Linked DNA regions of Elephas maximus indicus. The protein of the gene in region 1 interacts with the protein of each later gene in a biochemical or structural test. Links are inferred from orthologs where the notes say so. Each region holds a gene or a part of one and is shown on either strand. Other genes may lie near its edges. The genes, in order: CDC25C, MARK3, PLK3 and CHEK2.

Region 1 (7,426 bases):
ACACATTTCCAACTTCAAGGCTCGCTACACTCTTTCATCATCTTCCATCTCTATCCTACTAGCCTGTTCTCTCCCTTATGTTATTCTTCCCACTGAGGCCATTATGGCTGTTATTCCCTTCTCCCTACCGGTTTTATCAAAGTCTGAAGAGGTGGTAAGCTGAGTGGCAGACATGGCAGACATCTCCCCACTGCTAAGATTCGAAAGATCAAGGCAACGTTTTGGGGTTCCTCTGTCGAGACATAATAGAACATCAAAATTCCCATTAGGTTATAACATCCTTAAATGAAAAAAGCATAACATCCTCATTTGCAACACTCCTCAATAACTGTTACAAAAATCTGAACAGTGTCCAAATAAATCTAGTAACTTTTTGGGAAACATTTCAGATTAATAATGAAACAAGAAGCCCTGGTGGCACAGTGGTTAATCTAACTGTGCCAAATGAAAGGTCAGAGGTTCAAACCCACCAGCCAATCGGTGGGAGACAGTCTACTTCCATGAAGATTACAGTCTTGGAAATCGTATGGGGGATTTCTAATCTACTCCATTTTAGAGGGTCAGTTTGAGTCAGAATTGACTTGATGGCAATTTTTTTTTTTAATTGTGCTTTAGGCGAAAGTTTACAGAGGAAATTAGTTTCTCATTAAATAATATATACATTGTTTTGTAACATTGGTTGCCAAACCCAGGATGTGTCAACCCTCTCCCCTTCTATACCCCAGGTTCCCTATTTCCATTCATCAGTTTTCCTGTCCCTTCCTGCCTCCTTGTCTTTGCTTTTGGGCTGGTAAGCCCATTTAGTCTCACGTACATGGTTGAACTATGAAACATGTTCCTCATATGTGTTATTGTTTATTTTACAGGCCTATCTATTCATTTTCCTCAAAAATCCTGTGGTTGAAGGAGCAGAGCGTGTCCTTTGGACCAGGGATCCCTGTGCCTGAGAAGCTCCTTGACCAGGGGAAGAGTGAAGACAAGGACCTTCCTCCAGAGCCAACAGAGAGAGAGAACCTTCCCCTGGAGCTGACGCCCTGAATTTGGACTTTTAGCCTACTTTACTGTGAGGAAATAAATTTCTCTTTGTTAAAGTAAGAAAAAAAAAAAAGTCTTCTGGTTGAAAGGTGAACTTCAGGACTGAGTTAAAATAGTGTCCAGGGGCCATATTCTCTGGGTTTCTTCAGTCTGTCAGACCAGTTAGTTTGGTCTTTTTTTGTGAGTTTGAATTTTGTTCTACATTTTTCTCCCGATCTATTCAGGACTGTGTATTGTGATCCCTGTCTGAGTGGTCAGTGGTGGTAGCCAGGCACCACGTAGTTGTGTTGGACTCAGTCTGGTGGAGGCCTGTGGTAGTTGTGATCCATTAGTACAGCAATGGGTTTTTTGGTCTGGTAATAATGGGAACTAGGCTGAGAAAAATGTTTCACCTTTTCTTTACTCCAATAACCTGTATCTCAATTTCCCCTCACCAACATATTGAGACAGGATAATTTTTTTTTTTAATTGAGGCCCAAAGTTTATTGATCTACAGGTCTTGATCTTATGTCCTCTCCCCTGTGCACCATGAGGACACAGACTTGATTCCTCCCTGGGTTCTGTAGTACTTTTCAGCTCTATAAATCTTCAACTTCATTTGGTAGCTGAGGCATCTGGACACGAACATCGCCAGAATTTAAAGTGCAAGAACACACACACATATTGATTCCGACTCATAGCGACTCTATAGGCCAGAGGAGAACTGCCCCATAGCGTTACCAAGGAGCGGTAGATGGATGTGAATTGCTGACCTTTTGGTTAGTGGCCGAACCACTGTGCCACCAGGGCTCCAAGTACAAGTACGATAACACTAATAATAAAGTGTGCAAAGACTTCCCCAGACATCACGTCATTAGATTCTCACCCAATCCTGGTAAAATAGGAAGAAACTGTTATTCCCAGATCACTGAAAAGAAGCCTGAGATTCAAAAGGGTCACAGTTAGTCAAGTGGCAGAGGTGAGACTTAGACCCTTTTCCTAGGGCCAGGATAATTTATAAACAAACTAGAAAAGCAAGAGAAATAAAGTGTGACTATAAAAGTGAACTTACCCAGACAAAATGCTTAGGTTTCCAGAATCAACCAGGAGTTTGTCCACCGGAGTTCTAGGGAGACCTGGACACTTGGTAAAGGAAGTCTCTCTCTCCAGCAGCAGGTTTAACCTCTTCCTTTGATTGGATCTAAAACTGGGTCCTGAACCAGCGCCTTCCTCCTCTCTTGTGGATGAGAAGGGATTTGCAGACATGGGCTCTAAGTTCTCACCAAGAAAAAATTAAACCAATATAAGAGGACAAGGTCATCTATGTAGGTGCATCACTGATACATCACAGCTTTCACAACAACCTCCCTAACCCTTTCCAGCAGCGGTCAAGCAAATCAGTATTGGAGTACGGGCATACCCAAACGGTGATCTTTTTGGTGGATCCTAACTTACCGAGAGGCAACTCAGGGCTTTAAAGATGGGATGAAGAAAGGCCTTTGATTTGTTCCCGGCCACACAGCTAAGCGAGTCCTAACCGGAACTCAGGTCTCCTAATTCGCGATAATGCCTATCAGGTCCTCCCGCCTTAGGTTTGCGGGGTCCCGGCTGGACCCGGAGGAGACAATGGGGTCTCCGTGACTCCGTGGCGTAGATGGCTCCGGGCCTAGGTCTTTTGGGTCCTGAGCCTTGTCTTCGCGAGGAAAGGATCGGCCACAAGCGAAGCCTCGAGCAGAATTAAAGAAAAGAACAAACTGGGGAAAAGAGGCGACTAGCCAGACTATTTTGCTCTTCAGCTGGGTAGGCGGGGGCCAGGCTTTGCAAGTTCTCTCGGCAGAATGGAAGTTACAGTCTCAGTGCAAGAACACCAACAGCCGTAGACCTTGACCATTCAAACCTTCCGCCCTCCCCAATAACCTATCCACGCTTGCCTCTAAACTGCGTCAGCCGATCTCGGCGTGCCCGCCTAGACGTCCTCAGCCAATCGTACATCACCTCTGGGCGTGCGCTTGCTCTGGAAGAGCAATATTTGCCCCGCCCCTGGATCAGAGCAGCCCGGCGATTGGCCCACCAGCTTTAGACAGGAAAAAAAAAAAAAAAAAGCTGGATAAGCCCCGCCCCACAGGGAACCTGGAGCATTATTGGCCCTCCCTTTGACCAATCGCCACATCCTTCCTTCAGTCTGCCCGCAGCCTCACCAACCCCGGGAGATTTAAATTGCGACCACTCGCTGGCCTAATAACACGAGCGTTTTTTTTTTTAGTTTAGATGGGAGAGTTTGGAGAGCGTCTCTTTTTTCTTGCTTTTTTTCTCGTGCTGTTACGCGGACCTTTCCCTTCTAGCTTTTCTAGCTTTCCGCTGGCGATGGAGCATTTGCCGCCGGCGTGGCAGGTGTTGGGAAGAGACAGGTGTGTGTGTTTATGCAGAGCGGCGTCAGCCCCTCCCAAGAGTTTCGGTGACCCTTTTTAGGGGTAGCATCTGAGACTCTATGTAGGGTAAACAGGAATTCCTTTGCTGGGAGAATAGGAAAGTTGAATAATTTCTTGGCATAATCCTTATCACAGTTCAAAGAATTCAGTCTTTGTTATGGAAATTTGTCTTGACTAAGTGGTATTAAAGGAGCTTTGGTGGCATAATACGGAGAGCCTTGGTGACGCAGTGGTTAAAAGCTTGGCTGCTAACCAAAAGGTCGGCAGTTCGAATCCACCAGCCGCTCCCTTGGGAACCCTATGGGGCAGTTCTACTCTGTTCTACGGCGTCGCATGAGTCGGAATCACTCCACGGCAACGGGTTTCCTTCTTTTTGGTTGGTGGCGCAATGGTTAAGCGCCTGGCTGCTAATGAGAAGGTCGGGGGTTTGAACCTAAATCTTTAGGCAGTCTGCTCCCTGAAGATTTCAGCCTAAGAAACCCTGTGAGGCAGTTCTGTTCTGTCATATAGGGTCGCTATGAGTTGGAATCCAGTCGACAGTACACAACAGCTGATACTAAGTTATTCATAATTTGGGGGATTTGCTTTTAAATAATGGGGTAGGGAAAACCGGTGTGTATACATGAAACAAATTGGCCATGAGTGATGGGTGATTGGTACACGACGCCCACTAGTACTTGTCAAAGTTTAATGTGCATTCTAACCACCTGGGATCTTGTTAAAATGCAGATTCTGACTCCCTAAGTCTGGGTTGGGGTCCAAGATTCTGCACTGCTAACAAGGTCTTAGGTAATGCTGATGCAGCTAATCCTAGGACTATACTTTGAGTAGCATTTAAAAAAGAAAAAACATTGCTGTTGAGTGGATTCCGACGCGTAGACCCTACAGGGCAAAGTAAAACTGCCCCATAGGGTTTCCAAGAAGTGGCTGGTGGATTCAAACTGCCCCAAGGCATTATGCTATTCTCTTCACTGCTGTGTATTATTTGAAATTTCCCATAAAAGTTTAAAATAAACTTGTAAGCTCTTGAAAATGCAAGAGCCCCAAATACTGATTCAATAGGTCTGAAATGGGGCCCAGGAATGATCAAGGCCCCCAGGTGCTACCAAAGCAGATGGTTCGCAGACCACACTTTGAGAAACATTAAGTCAGAAATGCAACTTTATCTTTGAGAAAACAATAAGTCAGAAATACCACATTTATCTGGTGTCAGAATCTTGGTGGTGGTGGTGGCTGAGAAGCATTGTAGTCAGCTGGTTACTCCCTGATACTCCCTTCATCTGTAGAATCTGCTTCTCTAGAAAGGAGATGTGTGAGGAGTCTTTGTCTTCTGGGATACAGATGGTGAATGCAGGAGTCAGCACAGAGTCACGCCATGCCAGGTGAGTTTGCAAATCAGGCTGGGAATTAAGAGAGTATGGGATGAGTTGGTTCTGCTTTGGTGACTATAAATCACACTTTGTGGGGCACTGTGTACTTCCCCACAGTAGAGACATATGACATTGTCCTGCAGCGACGGCAAAAGCAGATAGATTATGGCAAAAGCACACCTGGCTACCAGGGCTTTCTGCAGCAGGTCTCCACATGAGTCTCATTGTGGGGTGGTCACAACAAGGGTGCCCACCAAGTTGCTTTGGTTCAGAGGATGGAAAGATACTAGGATCTGAGTGTTTTGAATGTGCTCACAAAGTTGCAGAACTACTAAATTTCTTGTAATCTAGCCCTAATATTTCCAAGGTTTTTTTTTTTTTCAAGTGGAACATACTTGGTCCATTGGCTTTTTTAAAAAATTGATTGTGGTGAGATATATATTTCAACAATTTTCTGTCTACAATTCACTGACATTAATTACATTCACCATGTTGTGCAACAATCATCATGTTTCCAATTTTTTTCACAGTCTTTAACAAAAATTCTGTATCTCTTAATATCCCCGATTTTCCTCTCCCACCCGCCCCTCCATGTGACTTTTTAAAGCTCTATCTGTGTTTCCTAATGAGGTGGTTTTCCTTCCAACCATTTTTACCATCGTCTTCTTATGCCTCCTCTTGACTTGGTAATTGCAACATACTTGCCTAAGTACATGTAAATTTACACACACTCATAGAAATTAAATGCATGAAAATGAACATTTGTTTTAAAGGGAAGTCAAATATTTTATGTCTACCTTGATTTCCAAGAATATATCTAATTTACCCTTTCCAGAAGAAAGGCTATTAGTGAGGCTGAAAGTTTGGTGTATAATCTGAAGATCTACTTTTTCTATTTGATTGAGGACACTGGTCTTACTCATTCTCAGGGAATTTCTAACTAGGCTCCTGATTCATTGTGATAAGTAGTGAGCTGTGCCCCCTGCTATACAGGGCCCCCTTTCATATTGACCTCAGCCTGACCCACATTTGTTGTTGCCAGGGCACAGCGACAGCCAGGGCTTCAACCTCAGACGCCAAACAAGAACAGACAGTACAGCCATCGCTCCTGGGATGCCCAGAACAGGCACTGGAGAAGAGCCTTGCATTCCTGGGATCCGCCCAGTCAGCCCCTTCAGGGCAGGGCTGCTCTGGGGTGTGCTGACTATTTCTGGTTCCTTCAGTGAGTGGTGGGCTGAGCCCCACATCTCCCCACTTTGCAGAGGTTTATCTTTCACTGCGTGAAAAGGGAGGGTCTGAATAAAAGGCATGTTCCTCTGACTCTGCTGCCTTCCTAGACAGGGAATGGAGAGTCTCTTAGAGCCAATGGACTCCACCCCTTTGGACAATCTACTGGATGACTGGCTCCAGGCCCTGAAACTCTTCGAGAATCTGGATGGAGACCAGGTAGTATACTCTGCTGAAACTCCCTGGAGCAGGGTCAGAGATGAGGTCTAGCCCAAGGGCACAATTAAGACGAAGTTCAAGGTAGCATCCCAAGAACAAAAGGAAGCAGCTGGAAAAAAAAATAACAGGTCATGACTTAAAAACTTGAGAACTAAGAGAAGGGTATAAGGAGATTTAAAAGGAGCCCTGGTGGGACAATGGTTAAGTGCTTGGCTGCTAACCTAAAGGTTGGTTATTCAAACCCACCCAGTGGCTCCATGGGAGACAGTCTGCTTCCATAAAGATTACAGCCTTGGAAACCCTATAGAGCAATTCCATTCTGTCACATGTGGTCACTATGAGTCGAAATCGACTCGATGGCACCTAACAAGAAGGAGATTTAACTATAGTTAGTAATGGAGGTGGAGCTTTGGGCTATACTGAGTGCTATTTTACCCTTGATGAAAGAGGGGGTATAGCCTTCCTTTGAGGCCTGAAATCTGCTCAGTTTTTGTTTGATTTTGTTTTTTAACGTCTCAAATTCTTTCAATGTTTTACAAGTTAGCCAATGCTAACTTAACTTCTTTTACTCAGTCATTTAACTTTTGTAAGCACGGATAATTTAAAAAAAAAAGTGGGGGGTATATAGCCTAGTGCTTTACATAACCAGGGCTTTAGAGGCTCATAATTGGTTCTTTGCCCACCACTTGGGCACTCAACCTCTTGGGCTGTTTATTGTCTCATTTGGTGATTGTAAGCAAAAATGAGAATACATTATTTAAATTATATAGCACCGTGCCTGGCACATATAAGTGCTTCACAGCTATTACTGAAAACAGTGTCTCCTATGCTTCATGGTCCCTGCCTCTGCTTCTTTTTCACCAAGGGGAAATGTGCATGGCAAGGTATATCCCCCTCCCACTTTCTTATAAATACCTCACTTTTCCTTTATTCTTTTTCAGTTAGCTGACTTTGTGGCTCCTGCCTCCTCCCTTCCATGGCTCAATGAGGAAGATCCCTACAATGACTACTTTCTAGCTGAACACAGCTAATTTACCTGTACCACTCCTGAGTGGGGCACAAAATATTTACAGAAAACAGATGTCTTTCAGGGGACTTACTTGCATTACTACCACTTTCCAATCAATTAGAAATCTAAAACTCTACCCTACAAAGGGATCACAACCC
Region 2 (7,175 bases), on another chromosome or scaffold:
TAGACGAGTGAGCACTTCCAGCGTTGCATGCGTTTGTTGGAACATCTCAATTGGTATTCTGTCAGTTCCTGAAGCCTTGTTTTTCACCAATGCCTTCAGTGCAGCTTGGACTTCTTCCTTCAATACTATCGTTCTTGATCGTATACTACCTCCCGAAATGGCTGAAGGTTGACCAATTCTTTTTGGTATAGTGACTCTGTATTCTTCCAACTTCTTTTGATACTTCCTGTGTCATTCAATATTTTGCCTGTAGAATCCTTCAATATAAAACCAGAAACCCAGTGCCTTCAAGTCGATTCCGACTCATAGCGACCTTCAATATAGTAGGACTAAATTATCTTAGCTTCTGATGGCTCACATTGATTTCTACTTGACATGAAAGCAAGTGCTGCCTACACATATACACAGCTTGGCGTATTTACTCACACTGTTATAGCGTAGGGAACCCAAGACAGAACCTGTTTTAACATGAAGACAGGAGACAAGGAATATGAAAAGAGACAGAGGCATCCCAAGGATGACTTCCAGAACTTGCCACTCCTTCTAGACCACAGATGCACATAATTCATGGTCACAATGGGTCCATCTGACAGGCACAGAGCACTGCTTTCCTTTTCTTTTTGTTTTTGCATAATATAGACACTTTGCTCCCCATTTTCAGCTCTTCAGAGTGTAATCACTGTCATTTCACGTAAGTGCAGTGAAGAGTGTTTCTTTAAGTCTAGCCTTTATGCAAAACAGAAGCTGTGTGAGCTAAGTATGTCAGATTCATTTCCTAACTTTTGGATTCATCAACTCATTAGCCAATAGTTAGCTTTGGTCAGAAGAGCACCTGGGCTGAAGCTTCACCTCCAGCTATTTCTCTGCCCAACGTGGAGTGTTCTGATTGTTCAAATGCTTTCTCTCAGCTCTGCCTGAGGCTGAAACTCATTTGTGTGTCTTTTGGATGTTTTCCCAGCTGACCTAAGGGACATTCCTGTCATCAGAATCAGACATGGCTGCAATTTGGCAGAACCTGGTGCCCTGCTATGTGCAAATGTGGCCCAGCTCCTGCCTGCCCACCAGTCACACCTCTTACTTTTTTTTTTGGTTTGTTTTTTTAATTGTATTTTAGATGAAGGTTTACAAAGCAAATTAGTTTCTCATTAAACAATTAATACATATTGTTTTGAGATACTGGTTGCTGTCTTAGTCATCCAGTACTGCTATACAGAAATACCATGTGGATGGTTTCAACAAAAAGAAGTTTATTCTCTCACAATCTAGTAGGGTCGAAGTCCAAATTCAGGGTGTCACCTCCAGAGGAAGGCTTTCTGTCTCTGTCAGCTCTGGAGGAAGGTCCTTGTCATCAGTCTTCCCCTGGTCTAGGAGCTTCTCTGTGCAGCAACCCCGGGGTTCAAAGGACATGCTCTCTCTGCTCACTTCTTTCTTTTATATCTCAAAAGAGATTGGCTTAAAACACAATCTAATCCTGTAGCTTGAGTCCTGCCTCATTAACATAACTGCCACTAATCCTATCTCATTAACATCATAGAGGTAGGATTTACAACACATAGGAAAATTATATCAAATGACAAAATGGTGGACAATCACACAAGACTGGGAATCATGGCCTAGCCAGATTGATACACATATTTTTGGAGGACACAATTCAATCATGACAGTTGCCAACTCCATGATACGTCAACATTCTCCCCTTCTTGACCTTGGGTTCCCTATTACCAGCTTTCCTGTCCCCTCCTGTCTTCTAGTTCTGTCCCTGGGCTGGTGTGCCCATTTAGTTTCATTTTGTTTTATGGGCTATCTTTGGCTGAAGGGTGAACCACAGGAGTTACTTCAGTGCTGAGTTAAAAGGATGTTCAGGGGCCATACTCTCAAGGTTTCTCCAGTCTCTGTCAGACTAGTAAGTCTGGTCTTTTTTGTGAGTTAGAATTTTGTTCTACATTTTTCTCCAGCTCTGTCCGGGACCCTCTATTGTGATCTCTGTCAGAGCAGTCGGTGCTGGTAGCCAGGCACCATCTAGTCGTGCTGGACTCAGTCCGGTGGAGGCCGTGGTAGTTGTGGTCCGTTAGTCCTTTGGACTAATCTTTCCCTTGTGTCTTTGGTTTTCTTCATCCTCCCTTGCTCCAGACAGGGTAAGATCAGTGGAGTATCTTAGACGGCTGCTCACAGGCTTTTAAGACTCCAGACACTGCTCACCAAAGTAGAATGCAGAACATTTTCTTTATAAACTGTTATGCCAATTGAGCTAGATGTCCCCTCAGACATTCACCTCCAATCCTCCTGATGCTCATGCAAACCCAGCCGTTCTCCCTCACCTCTGTACCTCTGTGCAGGCCAGCCCTCTGCTTGGAATGCCCCCCCGCCCCCAGCCACCCCAGCCTGGCTAACTCTACTCATGCGTTCAGATTCAGCACAAATATCCTCTCCTTCAGGAAGCCTTCCCAAACTGAAGCCCCCAAGCTGGGCTCAGTGTCCCTGCTTGCAGCTCCCACAACATTTGTGCTCGCCCCCATCTTATCTCAGCCCACATTTCAGGTGAACTGTTATGAAGCACATGTTTTATTGTTGTTAGCTGCTGTGAGCCGGCCCCTGAGTCATGGGGACCCCATGTACAACAGAACTAAATGCTGTCTGGGTTCTGTGACATCCCCGTGATTGGCTGTGGATCACACTGTTGTTATCCACAGGGTTTTCACTGGCTGATTTTCCGGAAGTAGACCTCCAGGTCTTTTCTCCTAGCCCATCTTAATCTGGAAGCTCCGATGAGACCTGTTCAGCGTTATAGCAACTTGCAAGCCTCCACTGAGACGGGTAGTGGCTGTGTATGAGGTGGACTGGCTGGGAATTGAACTTGGATCTCTCATGGAAGAAGCACACATTTAAACTAACAGGAATTCAAGTCTCTGTGCTTGGCCAAATAGGGGAAAGAGAATATCGACTTAAAGGGGGGACCCTGGCTCCGTAAGCACGCACCAGAGGTGACACGGGTGGTCTAAATGCATCTCAGTCCTCACGTATTTTACACTGGGAGCGTCTGGCTTTTCTGGGAGTGATTCTGGTATTTAAAGGCATACACTCGTATCTCTCACAGGGCAGGAAATGCCCCAGACATAGGAAGACGGTTCAGATCCTGGGGGACCAAAAAGGAAAAGACACATCCACCGCAAGGGCTCATCTACTATCAAAGCTTTAAGAACTGGGTTCTAATCCCAACTCTGCCACTTACCAACTTTGGTACTTTGGTCAAGTCACTGTAACCCCTGGAACTTGGATCGCATTGTGCGTGTGCCCGTCTTACACGGTTACCCTGACCTTAAACGAGGTAACAAACGTAATGTATCCACCAGGTACACTCTCCAAAACAGTTCGAGTTACCCGAGCACCACCCCCTCTCCCCAGCCCATCCCCTCTCCCTCCTCGGAACCTTGCACCCATGGATTCCACCCACCGCCGGCCAGACCCTGGGCAGAAACACAGGCTACCTACGGAGGCGAGGAGGGCAAAGAAGGTTTCCCGGCATGTCCAGTGCTCCAGCCTGCGGGCGTCCACAGAGCCCCGCCCCAGCCTGGGATCCCGGGACGCTGCCAGTCCTCGCGGCTGGTTATAAATCTCCTGCGGGCTGGAACTAGCGTCCTTGGGGTCCCCACAACTTTCCTCCCGCCCCCTTGAGCCGCCCTTCTTATTGCATTCTTCATCCCGACGGCATTAGCCGGGTCCCTCTCCCTGCAGACTTGCTGCCCTCGGGATGCGCGGATCCTGGCTGGCCTACAGCCTGGACAGACGCGGTGCCCTGCGGCCCCGGCCCTACAATTGCCGCCGTGGCTCGACTCTGCAGCGCAGGCCGGGCATGTGGGCTCCGCGTTTGCACACAGTAGGCGCTGCATCAGCACTGTAAACGCCAGCCCAGCAGTCGGGCTCAGGCCGCCGTCCAGGGCCGTGCCCGGTTCTCCCGGGCCTGCCTGCGTTACCGGCTGTGGGAACCCGTTGCCCGCTGCCGCCGGCGGGGACCCGGCCCACCCGCTTCCTCGCTCAGGGCCGGCCCTGCAGGACCGAGTCGCCCCTAGCAACAGCAGCAGGCCGCTTCCTCGCAGCGCGCTGATTGGCCCAAGTCCGGGAGGCGGCGGCTGCGTCACTTCCGGCATCCGGAGGCAGCAGAGGAAGTCGAGGGGCGGCCATCTTGGGTCTGTGAGGCTCGGTGGTGCCGGCAGCGGCGGCGGCCAGCGGGCGGCGGCTGAGGCGGAAAGCGAGCGGGAGGGAGAAGAGCAGCCGGCGCAGGCCCCTCCTCCGCAGGCCCCTCCATGGTCGGCGCCCGCAGCTCGTGGCGGCCTGTCTCGCGCTCCTCCTGCTCCGCGGCCTCCTCCTGCTCCTCCTCAGGGGCCGCCGGCGGCGCTGTGTGGAGGCCCCGGGGCTGAGGTCCGCGGCGCGACGGGCCGGAGCGCAGGCGGGGGGGCGGGGGCCCGCGGGGCGCCCTGAGGCGCGGGGACGCCGGCTGACCGCCGCCCGCGGGGCGCCTCGCTGCGGCCCCGGGGGAGATGCGCCCCGGGACCCGCCGGGGGACGTCCCGGCCCGGCCTCTAGTCGACCGCCCGCACCGCGGTGACCCGGGACGCTGCCGCCGGCTTCCCGGGGCCGCCCGTGCCGTTTCCACCCCCGCGTCGTGAGAATCCAAGTGCAAGAAGATGTCCACTCGGACCCCGCTGCCGACGGTGAATGAGCGCGACACGGAGAACGTAGGTGTCGGCGTGCGGAGCGGGGCGGGGGCCGGGCCTGGGGGGCGTCGGGCCTGGGGGGGGGGGTCGGGCCGGGGGGGAGCGGGGGCCGAGCGGGGCCGGGCCTGGGGGGCGTCGGGCCTGGGGGGGGGTCGGGCTGGGGGGGAGCGGGGGCCGGGCCGGGGGGCGGGGGCCGAGCGGGGCTGGGCCTGGGGGGGCGTCGGGCCGGGGGGGCGTCGGGCCTGGGGGGGCGGGCAGGCGGGGGCCGCAGACGTGGCGGCGGGGCGGACGGATGGGGGCCGGCGGGACCGAGGCGAATGACGGGCGGCGAGGCTGCTGGAAGCGGAGCCCGGAACGGTGGCGCGGCGGGGGCCCCGCGCTGGCCGGGCGTCCTCGGCTTCCAGGCTCCCGGCCCGGGATTCCCTGGAAGGAGCCTGGGCTTGGTGGGCGCCGGCCGCTCCCTGCCGGGGACGGCGAGTCCCAGGCCGGCGCTGGCCAGGCGCCCCTCCGCTCTGGCTCGCTCGGGGTAAACGAGGCCGGCCCAGCGGTGCTTGTCTGCCGCAAAACGTCGGCCAAACCTGGCCAAGAACCTTCCCCGGTCTTTCGCTGACGGGTGTCAGGAGGAAGTTGCCGGGGAGAAAACGGCCGTGTCTTTTAGGAGAAGTTTCCTTGCTGTGTTTTCATGGTTTCAGCAAGGTCCTGAGACACTGTGGCCTCGCGGTATCAAGTGTCTCGGTTTGAATCGTCAGAAGGCCGCTCGTTTGCTGCTGGTGGCTATCAGATGGTTTCATCTGTTTATGGAAACCGAGGTGGCGAGGATCCCCAGTGATGTACTCATCAACGCGTGGTCTGTAACGCTCTTTGGCCCTGAGGAAGCGGGCGGTCAGGGGTGTGCTTTCCTGCACCTGAGATGCATTAGAAATCTATCTGAGGAGTGAGTCAGAGAAAACCCTGGGTTAGGTGCGTCAGTGAACTCATTTTCTTACCCTCCTTCTTTGAAGCCCTGTTTCTGCCTTGATGTTTTCCTGTTCCTTGACCAGCCTGAAGAGTGGAACAAGCCCAAAAAGTGCATTGATTAGCTTTGATCATTGATCTTCACTCAGAGAAGCAAACCCTTACATTCAACCCGAGCTAGCGGGAGCTCCATCCACACCTTCTAAACTGAAGCCAGACACAGTCATAACACATTTGTAGTGATGACGGATTCACAGCGAATGGGTCTTTTGGACATATACATACCTATTTCACTGTGGGACGTAGAGAGAAGAAATACGTTTATTTTCATTCAGGGACACATGGTTTAGGCAGTGAATATCTCTGATTGTTCTTGACTGACTTTGCACGTTCTTCACCTTGTCCTCTGTTGAATTTGTTGAATCATTTTGTACTATTTTTTGTGTGTCGTTAGGTACTGCTAACTTTATTCTTTAAGAACAACCTAGGGTAAGGAGTGTGTCTTTTTTTATCCTCAGTTTAACATATTTAAAGTTGAAATTTTGACAGTGTTAGGATCAGAGATTTGCAGCGTGTCTTTGCATTAATTCAGCATACCTGTTCCACTTTAACTCTGGCATTGCCGTATTCTGGAAGGAACTCTGTCTCTTTCACAGTAAGAGCCCCAAGTGCCAGTGTTACACCTCAAGTGTGGGCTCTGTAATTGAGTGTACGCTAATGCGCTTCACCCACCATTACTGAGTAGCTAAACATTAGACTTAGTGCCAGTTCAGTGGTGAGGGTACGAGAATGAAGGGAAGTGCTTAGTGTGTTGAGTAGCTCTTCTGTTAAAGTCAGGCTTATTGGGATATAACATTCACCCTTTTTAAGTGTACAGTTTGATGACTTTTAAAGAATGTGTAGTGATGTAACCAGTATCATGGTCCCTTGGGCCCCTTTGCACTCAGTCTCGTCTTCAGATCAACCACTGGCAATCACTGATCTGTTTTCTGTCCTAACAGTCTTGTCCTTTTTACAGTGTCGTGTAAATAGGATCATAGGGTGTGGAATCATTTATATGTGGCTTCTTTCACGTAGCATAAGTTCAAGTTCGTTTCTTTTTATTGCTGAACAGTATTTGGATTTATCTTTGGATATACCTTTTTTTTTTTTAACTCATTTACCAGTTAATGGATTTTTTAGCTATTATGATGAGAGCAGCTTTGCTTTTCTATTTTATGGAAAGACTTTCAACTTTGCTTATCCTAGGAGCCTTATTTGCATTTCTAAAAATTGTATCTATTGTGAAGAATGTTCTTATTAAGAATAGTAGAACGTTCTTAAGAATAGTAAAAGGCAGATAATTTGCAATAAGGATAATACTGGCTTTACTGTATTTTCATTTGATATACAGATGTGAACATCCACCTTTAGGTGATGGGTATATAAAAGTTCACTGTTATCAAGTCATTTTCTAACCCAAAAGGCCTGGTCCAACAATCTGACATGAGAGGAAGCTGAGGTTCAGAGA
Region 3 (7,167 bases), on another chromosome or scaffold:
GGCATCCTGTTGGCCAAGGGATGTCCGCACGAGGCCGCTCACCAAACAGGAGACCTCGTCCCGCTCCTCAGGATGGTTCTTGCCTTGGGGGGGCAGGGGGTTAGGGAGATATAGCCCTCAGTGTCTTGCTCTGCCCAGGCCCCCTGCTTCCCACAGGGATGACACAGAGATAGGCACACCCAAGTGCTCGTACAACACATGCTCTCCCTAGGATGTTCACAGGTACCACACATGTGTAACAGCCCCCTACTCTATACCCACAACCCACTGACACCCCAGACTCACTCTTGTTCTTCTTCCTGCCAAAGAGGCTCTTGGTAACCTTGGCAAAGAGACTCCTGGCCGGGTTGGGGGGTGTCAGGTCTGGGACAGTCATGCAGCTAGTGACAGGAAGCTTGTCAGGGGTGTAGCCCTGGAGAAGGGAGCCATGTGAGAAGAGACGAGAGGCTCCAGGGGTCCTCTCACTTGCCCCCATTAAATCTTCTGAGGACAGGTAGACTGGACTTTGGTGTCTAGTGAGCCACAGACCTTGGTAAAGAAGTCATGGCGCAAGATCTGGTCGATCGAGGGGCGGTCTCGGGGCGAGGCCCGTAGAATGGCAGTCAGGAGCTGCCGGGCAGGCAGTGAAAGGCTAGCAGGCAGCGTGTAGTGAACCTGCTTGATGCAGCGGTATGTCTCCTTCAGGTCAGCTGTCTCAAAGGGGGGGCTCCCACACAGCAGTGTATACCTGTGGGACAGGGGAAAGAGGTCAGGAGTAAAGTGGAGGGTATGCCCCACCCTTCCACCTACCTGTCTGCCTCTGTCCTGGGACTCACATGACACAGCCCAGCGACCACACATCTGCCTCGGGGCCATGGCCCTGTCTCAGCAACACTTCTGGAGCCACATAGTTGGGGGTGCCACAGATGGTCCTGAAAGGGGGCAAGGAGGAGGGGAAGGCTCAGCCCCAGCTCTGCAGTCCCCCTATCCCTGCCCCCGCTGTGAGTCCAGACAAAGCAGCTGCCTGTCACCAAAGGCAAGAGAGCTTCTGCTTGTCCTGGGACAATGGATGCTGGGTATAGCAGCTGAGTCCCTGCCCACCCGCCTGGCCCAGCTGCTCAGCTGCTCTGCAGGACAGGGGGAGCCCCTGACCCTTCTCCAGGGTCAACATAGAGGGCCCATCACTGATTCCTCCTCCCCCTGCTGCCGTCTGTCAGGCACCCATACAGGCTGTCACCTCCCACGGTCTGTGCTACACACACACCAACACCAGCTGTCACATTCCCCCATAAGCACTCATCTCCCACATGTTATCTGTGTCATGCACACCCAGTCGTCGTGGCCATATCAGGGTCTTCTTATATACCTACCGGGCGTCACATTCTGCCATTCCCATACTCTGTCTCTCTCTCTCCCACACACACAGATACACACACTGCCTGTGGCACCTTCCCCTTGTCCACTCACAGGGTCAGTCAGACACCTTCAAGAACCCTTACACCTCCATCTGTCTCAGGAAGTCAGAGTCATCTACCCCATCTGTGTCACACACCCATAGGGCCCTCACCCCCACTGCCAGTCCCAGTAACCCAGGCTGCCACCTCCACCTTCATATGTAATCAGCTCATCACCCCCTTCCCCATCTATCATATGCACACATCAGGCAGTCACCTTGCCTCCTACACACACACACTCACTGTCGCACACATCATCTGTGTCACATATAGATCGAGGCCACTCATCTCGACACTCACTTCTTCCTCTGCTCTGGGGGCTCCAACCGGGCAGCCAGTCCAAAATCCCCCACCTTCAGCTCCATGTTCTCAGTGATGAAAAAATTTCCTGGATGGTGGAAGAGAGATGTGTCAGACTCCTTCCTGCCTCCCAACCCTTCCCACCCTCCTATCCTGCTGGCCATGGAGTCTCACCCAGCTTGAGATCCCGGTGCAAGATCCCCCGCTGGTGCAGGTACTTGAGGCCTGAAAGGATCTGCCTTAGGTAGTAACGCACCTCTGGCTCCAAAAGGGTGTGTCGGGCCTTCCAGATGTGGGCTAGGGACTGGGGAGAGCCACTGTCTCAGTCCCTGGCCCTCCCTGCCTGACCCTTCCCCCATCCATGCTCCCTGAGGAAGAGACAGGGCCCCAGCTTTGGGTTTTAAGGTCCCTTTTCCTGCCCCATCTCCACCTGCATCACTTCTCCTCACCTTTCGGCTGCACAGCTCCAGGAAAATGTATATGTTGTCAGCATCCTCAAAGTGGTGTGAGAAACGCACGATGTGGCGGTGCTGCAGATCTCGGTGCAGCTCAATCTCGTTTAGGATCTGCGATGGGGGCACGGGAGGTTGTCATGCTTCAAGGGTCCCCGCCCTCCCACCACCACCACCACCACCACCACCACCCTGCGTCCTCCGGCCAGGACGCACCTTCTCGCGCTGATGCGGCTTGGCGACGCGGCTCTGCGGGATGACTTTGACCGCGTAGGCGCTGCCAGTCTCTGTGTCAGTGGCCTCGTAGCAGCGAGCGAAGCCCCCCTATTAGGAGAGGGCATCAGACACGGCGCTCACAGGGTGTCCGGGTCTGGCCCGAACACTTCCTGGAGCCGGGGACAAGCGCCCCCGCCAGGCCCGGCGCCGGAAAAAAGGACGGCGAGGACCCTCTTCCCTGTCAGCATCACCTCCCGGGCAGCCGCCAGCCCACCTTGCCCAACAGGCGGCCTTTGAAGTAGGTGCGGCCGCTGCGCGGGTCCGTGATGAGACGCCCAGGGTCCGGCGCCGGTGCCCCGGCCGGCACCTCCAGCTCAGGTCCCGGCACCGCACTTCGAGGCGGCCCGGGCCCGGCGGGGGACGAGGGCGGGGCGGCAGCGCGCGGGAAGGGGCGCTGGGACAGGAAGCCGGCGGCGGGCTCCATGCGGCGGCGCGTCGCAGCGCGGGCGCGGCTCGGTCTCGGTTCCGCCCGGCCAGGGCCGCGCGTGGGCGCTGCCTGGATTCGCTACACTGCGCTGGCGCCCGAGGGAGCCCGGCGTTTTTATCAATGAACGCCGGCCCCCTTCCCCGTGTCCCGTCACCAGGAGCCCCGCCCCCTTCCTGGCGGCGAGTCACCGGGAAGCCGCGCCCCTTCTCGGGCTTACGTCAACAAGAAGCTCCGCCTCCCACCCCACACACCTCGACGCCCCGCCTCCTGCTCAAGCTTTAAAGGCACAGCCATACTGCTAGTCACCTACTGTGCCGGCGCGCCCCGGCTGTGGGGCCTGTTTCTCCGCCCCCCACCCACCCCGCCCCTGAGAACTTTGAGCCCCCTAATGGGGGCTACTTTCTTCTCCCATCCTTCGGGGCGTATGCTGAAGTCCGAGTGGGAGCCCGGCACCTAGGCCGTCTCCCCAGCAACTGGACCAGCGTTCCAGGCGGAAGGGGAGAGGCAGGGGTGGCGCTCGTTTTCGCCGGGGCGCTTCACCAATACTCCCCTTTCAGGCACGAGATGGTGAGCGCGTCCGGCGCCCTCGGTCGGAGCCTCCAGGACTAGCTCAGTGCTGGCCCCTTTAGGAACCGAGAGGGATTGCACACTCCCGAGCCCGACTTGCCAGGCCCAGGGGCAGCTATGCTGCGCTTTGGGTTGGGCTGGGTATCCCAAGCCTTTACCATGCACCGCGTCACATCATCTGCTACCCATGTCCACACTCTTGAGGGACGAATCCCAGGCTCCAGCAGGGTTCCTTATTCCCTTCCCCTGAAAACACCCATTGTCCTGGTTCAGTAACCAGAAAGCCAAAAAGTTAAGAAAGGGGAACTCACCTTTCTCAGATGCTAGCGATGGGCAACTGGGCAGCTGGTGCCAGCACCATCTGGACCCTTAGACACCTACTCAATGCTCATCTTTCCAGGGCCAGAGACAAATGTGGGGTCTTAACCTCTCTGGCGTGTTTGTCACAGGATCATCAACCTCTGGCTTTGTAGTCCCTCTCACCTCCCTGCCCTCACACTGAACCATCCAATCAATAACTCATGAATAAGCCATTCGGTCCCCAAAGACTCAGTGAAAATACCAGCACACGGTTCGAATAAGACTGGCCAAGGTTGCAGCCCTCATTTATTTAACATTCTGCTTGATGGAAACAGACAATGTTGTTGTTAGGTGCCCTCCAGTCAGATCCAACTCATAGCAACCCTATGTACAACAGCACGAAACACTGCCCGGTCCTGCACCATCCTCACAATCGTTGTTATGCTTGAGCCCATTGTTGCAGCCACTGTGTTAATCCATCTTGTTGAGGGCCTTCCCCTTTATCGATGACCCTCTACCAAGCATGATGTTCTTCTCCAGGGACTGATCCCTCCTTATAACATGTCCAAAGTACGTGAGACTCATTCTTGGCATCCTTGCTTCTAAGGAGCATTCTGGTTGTGCTTCTTCTAAGACAGGTTTGTTTGTTCTTCCGGCAGTTCATTGTATATTCAATATTCTTCACCAACACCACAATTCAAAGGCATCAATTCTTTGGTCTCCCTTATTCATTGTCCAGCCTTCACATGCATATGAGGCAACTGAAAACACCATGGCTTGGGTCAGGCACACCTTAGCCCTCAAAGTGACATTTTTGCTTCTTACCACGTTAAAGAAGCCTTTTGCAGCAGATTTACCCAATTATCAGTACAATGCATCCTTTGATCTCTTGACTGCTGCTTCCGTGAGTGTTGATTGTGGATCCAAGTAATACAAAATCCTTGATAACTTCAATCTTTTTTGCTTATTGGTCCAGTTGTGAGGATTTTTGTTTTCTTTATGTTGAGGTGTAATCCATACTGAAGGCTGGAGTCTTTGATCTTCATCAGTAAGTGCTTCAAGCCCTCTACACTTCAGCAAGCAAAGTTATTTCATCTGCATAATGCAGGTTGTTAATGTCTCCCTCCAATCCTAATGCCCCTTCTTCATATGGTCCACCTTCTACAGATTATGTGCTCAGCATACAGATTGAATAAATATGGTGAAAGGATACAACCCTTACAAACCTTTCTTGACTTTAAACCACAAAGTATCCCTTTGTCCTGTTTGAATGACTGCCTCTTGATCTATGTACAGGCTCCTCACGAGCACAGTTAAGGGTTCTGAAATTACCATTCTTTGCAATGTTATCCATTATTTGTTATGATCCACACAGTTGAATGCCTTTGCATAGTCAATAAAACACAGGTACACATCTCTCTGGTGTTCTCTGCTTTCAGCCAGGATCCATCAGCAATGGTATCCCTGGTTCCACATCCTCTTCTAAATCTGGCTTCAATTTCTGGCAGTTCTTTGTTGATGTACTCCCGCAGCTGCTTTTGAATAATCTTCAGCAAAATTTTACTTGAGTGTGATATTAATAATATTATTCAATAATTTCCTTATTCAGTTGGATCACTTTTCTTTGGAATAGGCATAAATATGGACCTCTTCCAGTCAGTTGGCCGGGTAACTGTCTTCCAAATTTCTTGGCATAGACGAGTGCGCACTTCCAACACTAAATCTGTTTGTTGAAATGATTCAGTTGCTATTCTGTCAATTCCTGGAGCCTTGTTTTTTGCCAGTGCCTTCAGTGCAGCTTTGTCCTCTTCCTTCAGGACCATTGGTTCCTGATCATATGCTACCTCCTGAAATGGTTGAATGTTGACCAATTCTTTTTGGTATAGTGACTCTGTGTATTCCTTCCATTTTCTTTTGATGATTCCTGTGTTGTTTAATATTTTCCTTGTAGAATCCTTCAACATGCAATTCGAGGCTTGAATATTTTCTTCAGTTCTTTCAGCTTGAGAAATACCAAGTGTGTTCTTTCCTTTTGGTTTTCTAACTCCAGTTCTTTGCACATGTCATTACAGTACTTTACTTTGTCATCTCGAGCTGCCCTTTGAAATCTTCTGTTCAGCTCTTTTACTTCATTTCTTCCATTTGCTTTAGTGATGTTCAAGAGCGAGTTTCAGAGTCTCTTCTGACATCCATTTTGTTCTTTTCTTTCTTTCCTGTCTTTTGAATGGCCTCTTGCTTCCTTCATGTATGATGTCCTTGATGTCATTCCACAACTTGTCTGGTCTTTGGTCATTAGTGTTCGACACATCAAATCTATTCTTGAGATGATTTCTAAATTCAGATGGGATATACTCAAGGTCATTTCTAATTTTCTCCAGCTTTGAACTTGCATATGAGCAGCTGATGGTCTGTTCCGCAGTCAGCCCCTGGCGTTGTTCTGACTGATGATATTGAGCTTTTCCATCATCTCTTTCCCCAGATGTAGTCGATTTGATTCCTGTGTATTCCATCTGGTGAGGCCCACATGTACAGTCATCATTTATGTTGCTGAAAAAAGGTATTTGCAATGAAGAAGTCGTTGGTCTTGCAAAATTCTATCATGTGACCTCTGATATAATTTCTGTCACCAAGGCCATATTTTCCAACTATCAGTCCTTCTTTTTTGTTTCCACTTTTCAATCACCAGTAATTACCAATGCATCCTGATTGCATGTTTGATCAATTTCAGAGTGAAGAAGTTTGTAAAAATCTTCAGTTTCTTCATCTTTGACCTTAGTGGTGGGTGTATAAATTTGAATAATTGTCATATTAACTGGTTGGTCTTCCTCGTAGGCGTATGGATATTATCCTATCACTGACAGCATTGTACTTCAGAATAGATCTTAAAATGTTCTTTTTGACAATGAATGCAGTGTCTTTACTCTTCAAGTTGTCATTCAGCATAGTAGACCATATATATCATTGTCCAATTTGAAATGGCCAAGACCAGTCCATTTCAGTTCACTAATGCCTAGGATATCAATGTTTCTGTGTTCCATTTCTTTTTTGATGATCTCCAATTTTCCTAGATTCATACTTAGTACATTCCACATTCCAGTTATTAATGGATGTTTGCAGCTGTTTCTTCTCATTTTGAGTTGTGCCACACAGCAAATGAAGGTCCTGAAAGCTTGACTCCATCCATGTCAGTAAGGTCGACTCACTTTGACGAGGCAGCTCTTCCCCAGTCGTCCTTTTAGTGCCTTCCAACCTGAGGGACTCATCATCTGGCACTATATCAAACAATGTTCCGCTGCTATTCATAAGGTTTTCACTGGCTAATTCTTTTCAGACGTAGACCACCAGGTGTTTCTTCCCAGCCTGTCTTAGTCTGGAAGCTCAGCTGAAATCTGTACACCATGGGTGACCCTGC
Region 4 (6,996 bases), on another chromosome or scaffold:
ATGAGAAATGTTTACAAGTTTGCATGAAACTGCAGTTTTCTGGGGAGAGTCCACAGCTCTGTTCAAGAACCTCAGCCCAACAGCACAGCACAAATGCCCAAAAAGTATCTGCTGTAAGAATAAATAAAGGGAATCCAAAAGGGGTTAAGAGCTAATGTACGACCCAACACTGCTTCCTCAGTTTCATCTTCCATCACCATCAAACTCCAGAATCACTCCAGGAGCGACTCGAGCCTTCTACTACAACTTACTGTAGTTGTCTTTCTGAATGAAACATTGCATCATATAACAAAGACGCTTACCGAGATTGGAGAATCCATCCTGAAGGGCCCATAATCGAGCCCAGGGGGCCGGGATGGGCTCCTCTGGTTCTTGGTCCTCGGGAATAGAGTAGAGTTCCTGAGTGGACACTGTGTCTACGGAACTCAGCGTCCCGGAGCTGGAGTGAGAGGACTGACTGGATGTGTGTACTGTGCCAGAGGAGGAGCCAGATGTGTTCTGGGACTGCGAAGAGCCGTGGGGCTGTGAGGAAAGGCCAGGGGACTGCAAGGAGCTGCTGTGCGACTGCCAGGAGGAGGAGAAGGCGGGCTGAGAGGAGGTGGCGGACTGAGAGGAGGTGGCGCCTTGAGACTGTGAGGAGGTGCCGTCTTGGGACTGCTGACAATCCATATCTGCCTCTCGAGACATCAGGACCTCAAAAAGCAAGTGTTCACCAATAAGATAAGTTTCAAGGAACAAAACTTAAAGTTCAAGAGTGAAAGGTGGGCAAATTACAATGGTTTTAAATTAAAAAAAAAAAAGACAGGATACACATGCTCTGCAAAAATTAAAATGCTACGTCTGCTGTGAGCACTATGCTCTTTTAAGATCTATCTACACGAGATCAAATTGTCAATAGCAACTTGAAAGGTTAGACAGGAAATTTAGGAGGCAATGAGTTTGTTAGTGTGGGAGGAACGAAAATGGCTGCACCACTCAAAGAATGTAATCAATGTAGATTTGTAAATGTAGAAGCTGTTGAATTGGTGTATGTCCTACTGTGTATATTCTCCACAACAAAAATAAGACAAATTATTTTAAAAAGTTAAAATGCTAACAATTTAGACCAATAGTTTTTGAGTTGGGGGGAATGGGGTCAAAGGCTCAAAAGCTTACATTCCCTCAATTTTTAAAAATTAGAAATGAAACCTAAACCCTATTCATTAATACAACTAACACTACACTTAAATTTCATATATATTTTGAGAGGGAAAGAAGGCGGGGAACTGTCAGGTGGACAAAGGTAGAAGCTGAGCAAAGAGAAACCATACAATGGCTAGGGTTGTCATTGACATAAAACACATCGGATGTCTCTCCTTCACCCTGACCCAGGCCTACTCCAGAAGGACAGAGACCATATCCAGTTTGTTCATTCCAGATCCCCTGGCACCTAACTTGGGTCAGGCCACTTAAAGAAACAGAGCACAAACCAGACTGCTCTAAACAACTCCACCTAGCTCTTCTGATGCTAAGTAACTATGGGTTCATCTTTTCAGCATCCCAAAAGGCCTTCCATTCTGGACAGAATTCTGAACCATTCTCTGAGTCACAGATACCATAACAGAGGCTCCCTTTCTTTAGAATTAACTTGATGGATAGTTATACTCAGACAACAGAACCTCCTGTAAAATCAAAGTAACTTGCAAGCCTGATCCAATTTGACTTTTTTTTTTTAATGGAAGTATTTCCTTTCCCCACATTCAGGTTAATCCTTCAGGAGAATGTTGTAAACAATGTTACTGCATTTACACAGCTTTCAAGATACAAAGGTCCTGAGGAGCTTTTCTTAAAACACAACAGGAAGGTGATGCCAGAGCTGAGTCTGCCACTCCAGAACCTGCTGGTCTAAAACTGCCTCAGCCAGGTTGGGTCCTTCTGTAGCTTTCTGAACAAGACTTCTTCGTCTGCATCTAGTCCCCGCCCTTGGTAAGTGGAGAAAGAAAGAGCGTGTCAAGAGGTGGCAGCCATCATTTGCTTAGGACAAGGGTCCACCCACTCAGACAAAAATAAAGAGCTGGGACCACCCCGGCCTCAGCAATAGTGAGAAGGTATGGTGGAGTTGCTAGAGGTGTAGAGCCTTGGAGTCAGAGGCCTGCCTCAAATCTTTGCATGACACTGGGCAGGTCCCAATCTCTCTGAGTCTCAGTTTACTCATATGAAAAAAGCAAATAAATAGTGAGGATTAAATGAAGTGATGCATGTAATGCTAGCCCTCTGCTCTCCCCACCTCCCCCTCCACCCCAGTAATGCATGATAACTGGGAGCTACTTATATCAGCAGGCCATGCGGAGTGGGGTGTGAAAGGCCACAATAACCACAGCAAAACCCATGACTGTGAACAGACTTCCAGTCCCGAAGAATCCTACAGCGAGAAAAAAGCCTCACATATGCAACACAATCTTTTTTCATATAAGAAACTGAGTCTCAAAGACGTCTCGTGCTGGCTGCCCATTCCCTGCCACCCCATCCCTCACACTTAAGGCCACTCGCAAGGCATCCGCTACACACACACACATAGGGCAGTGGGTTTCTTGTTCCTGCAGCGCATAGCAGCTAAAGTGGGTTCGCCAAAAATACTTACGATATTGAATTTAAATCATGGCAGTGATCATTAACATTCATAGAACTCCTTACAAAGCAACTTCGCTGTGATTTTTAAGAGCATAAACTTTTTAACTTCCCACCTTCTAGGTCTAGGCCAGTAGCAGCTTGTAAGTCACGAGGGAATGTAAACTTCACCTCCAAGTTTATCTACAAAGAAGGAAGAGTCGCCCACGTACTCGCCTCCCCCCCCCCCCGGGAGCTCAAATTCGGCAAAGCGGAAGCTCCAGAGATTCTGCTCGCATAAGACCCTGAGGACGGGATTCGAACCCCTAAAACACCCAAAAAAGTTTCCCCACTAAGACTCACCCTGCGAGCCCACCTGGAGTCGCGCACACTCGCCGCAGCCGACTCGCGCACACTCGCCGCAGCCGCAGCCGCAGCCAGCGGAGTGGCGCTAAAGATGTAATACAAACTCCTTCCTCAGCCAATCAAAAACACCCTCCGCCGCCCTGGGCCAATGAGGAGAAGCGGATGGGACCTTGGAAGTGTAGCCTCATTGCCTGCTGGGAGTTGTAGTTTAGATCTCAAAGCGGGACACAGAATCCAGGTTCCCCCCCTCCCCAAGGTGATCCCGCCCCCTCAGTTCCCACAGCCAATCAGCAGCACTAGTTAGGTCGCTCGCTAACTCCCCTTTCCCCCACAGGTGACCCAGGCGAGATAGGCCGTGGGCCAGATGTGGGGCGGGAGAGCTGGGGCCTTGCTCCGGGTGTGGGGGTTGAGGCCAGCATGGAGCCCCAGGAGGAGACCACTAAGCTGCAATGCTGCTTCGCAGGCCCGAAGCAACTCCCCGCGATGTTGGAAGTGCGGCGGCAGCCCAGGGGGCCCCACAGGGGAGGACATACTCTTCTGCCCGCAGTGCCGCGCGTTGCAGCCACCCGACCCCACTCGAGATTACTTCAGCCTCATGGATTGGTACGGGCGGCGGTTTTGGGAAAGGGGTCGAGACCATCGAGACGTGACGAACTGGTCAGCTAGAATGGTGGGCCGACCAGGCTTGGAGAAGAGGGGCCCTGAAAGATGGTTGGGGGCGGAGCCTGGGAGAATGGAGGTTGGGAAGTGGCCTGAGGGAGAGAAAATTAAGGGGCGGGGTCTGAGGGAAGGGCCGGAGAGATGAGGGATGGAGACTTGAGGGGGGGACTTGAGGTGCGAAGCCTGAGAGGAGAAATTGAGGGCTGGACCTAGGACAAGGGAGACCTGGGGAGCAGAGTAAGAAAGGTTAAAGTTGGGTTGAAACTCTTAAAGAAAGGAATACTAATGTATAGTCCAAGTTAAGGGAGTAAAAACCAAAAAAACACTTGCCATGGAGTGGATCTTGAATCATAGTGATCTTACAGAGTAGAACTGACCCATAAGGCAGTTCTGCAAATCTTTCTCCCACAGAGAGGCCGGTGGGCTTGAACCACCAACCTTTGGGTTAGCAGCCAAGCTTTTAGCCAGTGCACCAATAGGGATCTTTAAGGGAGTAAAAGCACAGAAAAACTAGTATTGTGGGCAGGATTTAAAGGAAAAGTGGGAATTGAAGGTGGAGGGTCCCAGAAATGGGTGTTTTTTCCCATTTTCCTCTGAAATTGAGCTTGGAGAGGTGATGAAATGTGGGTGGAGATGGACTGGTTAGGTGATAAGGCAGACTCTAGGAACTGATAGCTAAAATGAGTTGGATTAAAGGAAAGTGGGAGATCTAGGAGAGAGAAAGTTTGGGTGAAGTTCAGCATTGCCCCTTCCCTCAACTCCAGGATCTGCCCCCACAGGTCACTGAGCACTTATTATGGGCTGCAATGACACTACCCTTTAATTTCTTCAGTGTGCCAATTTTGTTCCCACTCCAGGGCCTTTGCACTTGTGGTTCCTTTTGACTGGATGGCTCTTTCCTTTGATATTTGAATACTCCTCCACAAATTCAGGTCTCCCCTCAAATGTCATCTCTTCATCCACTCCATTCACCACTCTCTTTGACCCAGTTCTGTTTTCATTCATAGCACCAACCACTATTTGAAACCATCCCCCATGAGAGCAGGAACCAGGCTTATAGAAGACAAATCTTTAATTATTTGTTCCATGAATTTCATCTACTGGTTTTCTTCCAGCAACCGTTCCTTCAGAGTTGACACCATGAAGCTCCAGCATAGGTACCAGCAACTACAGCGTCTCGTTCATCCAGATTTCTTCAGCCAGAGGTCTCAGGTAGTCTATTGGCTACCCCCAATCATCCCAAACACACATGTACACACTAGATGGGTGGCAGTGGCCTTGTGGTTATGTAATTATCACGGAACAAGCCGGACAACCAGCTCTACCCTATGGCAGCCTGACCTCAGCCAGCCAGGCCTTGGAGCTGTCATGCACTCACAGCTTTTATCTAACTTCCCAGCAGACTAAAACCAATCAGTTGAAAATTAAGACAGCTCATCCGACACCAGTTCTATTTTGGCTACTTCCTGAGGTCTCCACCCATCAGCCTTTTTTTTTTTTAATTATGGTAAAAATATACATAATAAAACATATGCCACTTCAACAGTTTTTACATGTATAATTCAGTAACACTGATTATATTCTTTATGTTTTACAACCATTATCACTATCCTTTTCCAAATTATTCCACTACAATTAACATAAACGCAGTGCCCTCTAAGCAGTAACTCCCTTTTCTCCCCTTCCCTCCCACCTCTAGTAACCACTATATTTGCCTCTTTCATATAAGTCAGATCATACGGTATTTGCCCTTTTATGACTGACTTGCTTCACTCAGCATAATGTTTTCAAGGTTCATCCATGCTGTGACATGCATCAGGACTTTCATTTCTTTTTATGGCCCAGTAACCCATCAGCCTTTTTAAAACAGTTTGTGAATGTAAGATGGTTAATTTGGATGATAATAAGACTGCCTTCATCTCCCACTAACAGACTGAAAAGGACTTCTCAGTGAAGCATTCGACCCTGGTGAATGATGCCTATAAGACCCTTCTGGCACCCCTAAGCAGGGGACTATACCTTGTAAGGTGATTTCCCAACTCTTTTATGCGTGACTGCCTGGTGCTTATTGTGTTGTGGGACACCTGCTCCCCTCTAATCAGAGAAAAGCGCTTGAGACCTGAGCTGATCCAGAGACCCAATATTTAGCCTCAAAGATACTACACGAGTATCATTTTCTCTGAGTATTCTCTGCAAATGTTACTTGCCCCAGTTGCTTTTTTTTCTTTTCTTTTTTTTTGACACCATTTTCTATAAATTTCAAAGATTTGATGATGACTTTTAATGAAGGGTAATTTTTGGTTTCTTTTGGGAGAAGTCTTAAACTCCAGAAAATTTTAGAACTTAATAGAATCTTTACAAACATTTAGTTCAACCTCTGAGTAGAAGAGTAACTCCCCAGGGTCACACAGGTCCAAGGAGCACAGAGAGGGATCCTGTCCCAGCACTCTGTCTCGGCCCAGGCTTTTGGCACCTACTCTTAACGCTTTCGTTATTAGGACAGCTCGAGTTTTCCCCATGAGCGATATTATGTTCTAAGGTGTGAATAGGAATTACAGGACTCTGGCCATAGTTTCCTAAACAGAACTTATTTTGTCTGCTTTATACCTCAATAGCTAAAACTCCGTGGAATAGAGATTCCCGAAGGGACAGATGAAATGGACAAGCAATTCCTCGTGGAAATAATGGAAATCAATGAAAAACTCGCAGAAGCTCAACATGAAGGTGCTGTCAATGAGATTGAATCCGTTGTCGCAGGTAAAAGATGAAACGGTGCCAAGGCACTTTGTTATGGATATATACCTAGGGTTAAGTGAAAGACGAGTATAGAGAGAAAATTACTGGTTATCATGATGATTCAGGGAATTTTTTTTCTTGACCATACAGAAACCAATGTTGTCTGGAGGTTAAACTTGCAACGTCCCTCTGGAAAAAAAATACCAAACCCTCTGCCATCAAGTCAATTCTGACTCATAGTGGCCCTATAAAAGGCAGCCTTAAATCAAGAATGTAATACTATCGGCTGCTAAGCAAAAGGTTGGTGGTTCAAACTCACCCAACCGCTCCACAGGAGAAAGACCTGGAAATCTGCTCCCATAAAGACTACAGCCTAGAAAACTCTATGGAGCAGTTCTACTCTGTCATATGGGATCACTATGAGTAGAAATCGACTCTGTGGCACCCAACAACAACAGTATTTTGCAGATTGGAATGTTCCTTCCCACCCGTGATGTCATTTAGATACTGTGATTATCTCTGACAGGGAAAATGTGTCTTAGAATTTCATGGAATTTCCCAAGGTCACACAGCAGATATGTAGCAAAGCAAAGATTGAGACCCTGTTCTTCAGACCCCATATAGCTTCGTTTTCTACTTTATTCTGTA

Evidence for each region.
Region 2: of the proteins of CDC25C (region 1) and MARK3, one has a biochemical effect on the other in vitro, tested with the Homo sapiens proteins (3 studies listed by BioGRID, with this or other methods). The link is inferred for Elephas maximus indicus from reciprocal best matches to the Homo sapiens genes CDC25C and MARK3.
Region 3: of the proteins of CDC25C (region 1) and PLK3, one has a biochemical effect on the other in vitro, tested with the Homo sapiens proteins (2 studies listed by BioGRID, with this or other methods). The link is inferred for Elephas maximus indicus from reciprocal best matches to the Homo sapiens genes CDC25C and PLK3.
Region 4: of the proteins of CDC25C (region 1) and CHEK2, one has a biochemical effect on the other in vitro, tested with the Homo sapiens proteins (14 studies listed by BioGRID). The link is inferred for Elephas maximus indicus from reciprocal best matches to the Homo sapiens genes CDC25C and CHEK2.

The regions. Positions count from the first base shown.
Region 1 is NC_064820.1:151,423,371-151,430,796, forward strand, and holds the start of CDC25C (M-phase inducer phosphatase 3), read right to left. Parts: upstream 3,006-7,426; 5' UTR 2,470-3,005; intron 2,293-2,469; exon of another isoform or gene 2,286-2,292; 5' UTR 2,281-2,285; coding exon 2,087-2,280; intron 233-2,086; coding exon 129-232; intron 1-128. UniProt on the Homo sapiens protein: Functions as a dosage-dependent inducer in mitotic control. Tyrosine protein phosphatase required for progression of the cell cycle. When phosphorylated, highly effective in activating G2 cells into prophase.
Region 2 is NC_064828.1:117,666,886-117,674,060, forward strand, and holds the start of MARK3 (MAP/microtubule affinity-regulating kinase 3), read left to right. Parts: upstream 1-4,160; 5' UTR 4,161-4,681; coding exon 4,682-4,732; intron 4,733-7,175. Other genes in the region: uncharacterized protein LOC126083725, read right to left, coding at 3,490-4,145. UniProt on the Homo sapiens protein: Serine/threonine-protein kinase. Involved in the specific phosphorylation of microtubule-associated proteins for MAP2 and MAP4. Phosphorylates the microtubule-associated protein MAPT/TAU. Phosphorylates CDC25C on 'Ser-216'.
Region 3 is NC_064821.1:87,161,106-87,168,272, reverse strand, and holds the start of PLK3 (serine/threonine-protein kinase PLK3), read right to left. Parts: upstream 3,012-7,167; 5' UTR 2,886-3,011; coding exon 2,676-2,885; intron 2,510-2,675; coding exon 2,402-2,509; intron 2,300-2,401; coding exon 2,183-2,299; intron 2,038-2,182; coding exon 1,908-2,037; intron 1,822-1,907; coding exon 1,734-1,821; intron 912-1,733; coding exon 816-911; intron 728-815; coding exon 529-727; intron 413-528; coding exon 286-412; intron 84-285; coding exon 1-83. UniProt on the Homo sapiens protein: Serine/threonine-protein kinase involved in cell cycle regulation, response to stress and Golgi disassembly. Polo-like kinases act by binding and phosphorylating proteins that are already phosphorylated on a specific motif recognized by the POLO box domains.
Region 4 is NC_064840.1:27,875,186-27,882,181, reverse strand, and holds the start of CHEK2 (serine/threonine-protein kinase Chk2), read right to left. Parts: upstream 3,016-6,996; 5' UTR 2,950-3,015; intron 694-2,949; 5' UTR 688-693; coding exon 303-687; intron 1-302. Other genes in the region: iron-sulfur cluster co-chaperone protein HscB, read left to right, coding at 3,317-3,555, 4,728-4,824, 5,545-5,634, 6,228-6,369. UniProt on the Homo sapiens protein: Serine/threonine-protein kinase which is required for checkpoint-mediated cell cycle arrest, activation of DNA repair and apoptosis in response to the presence of DNA double-strand breaks.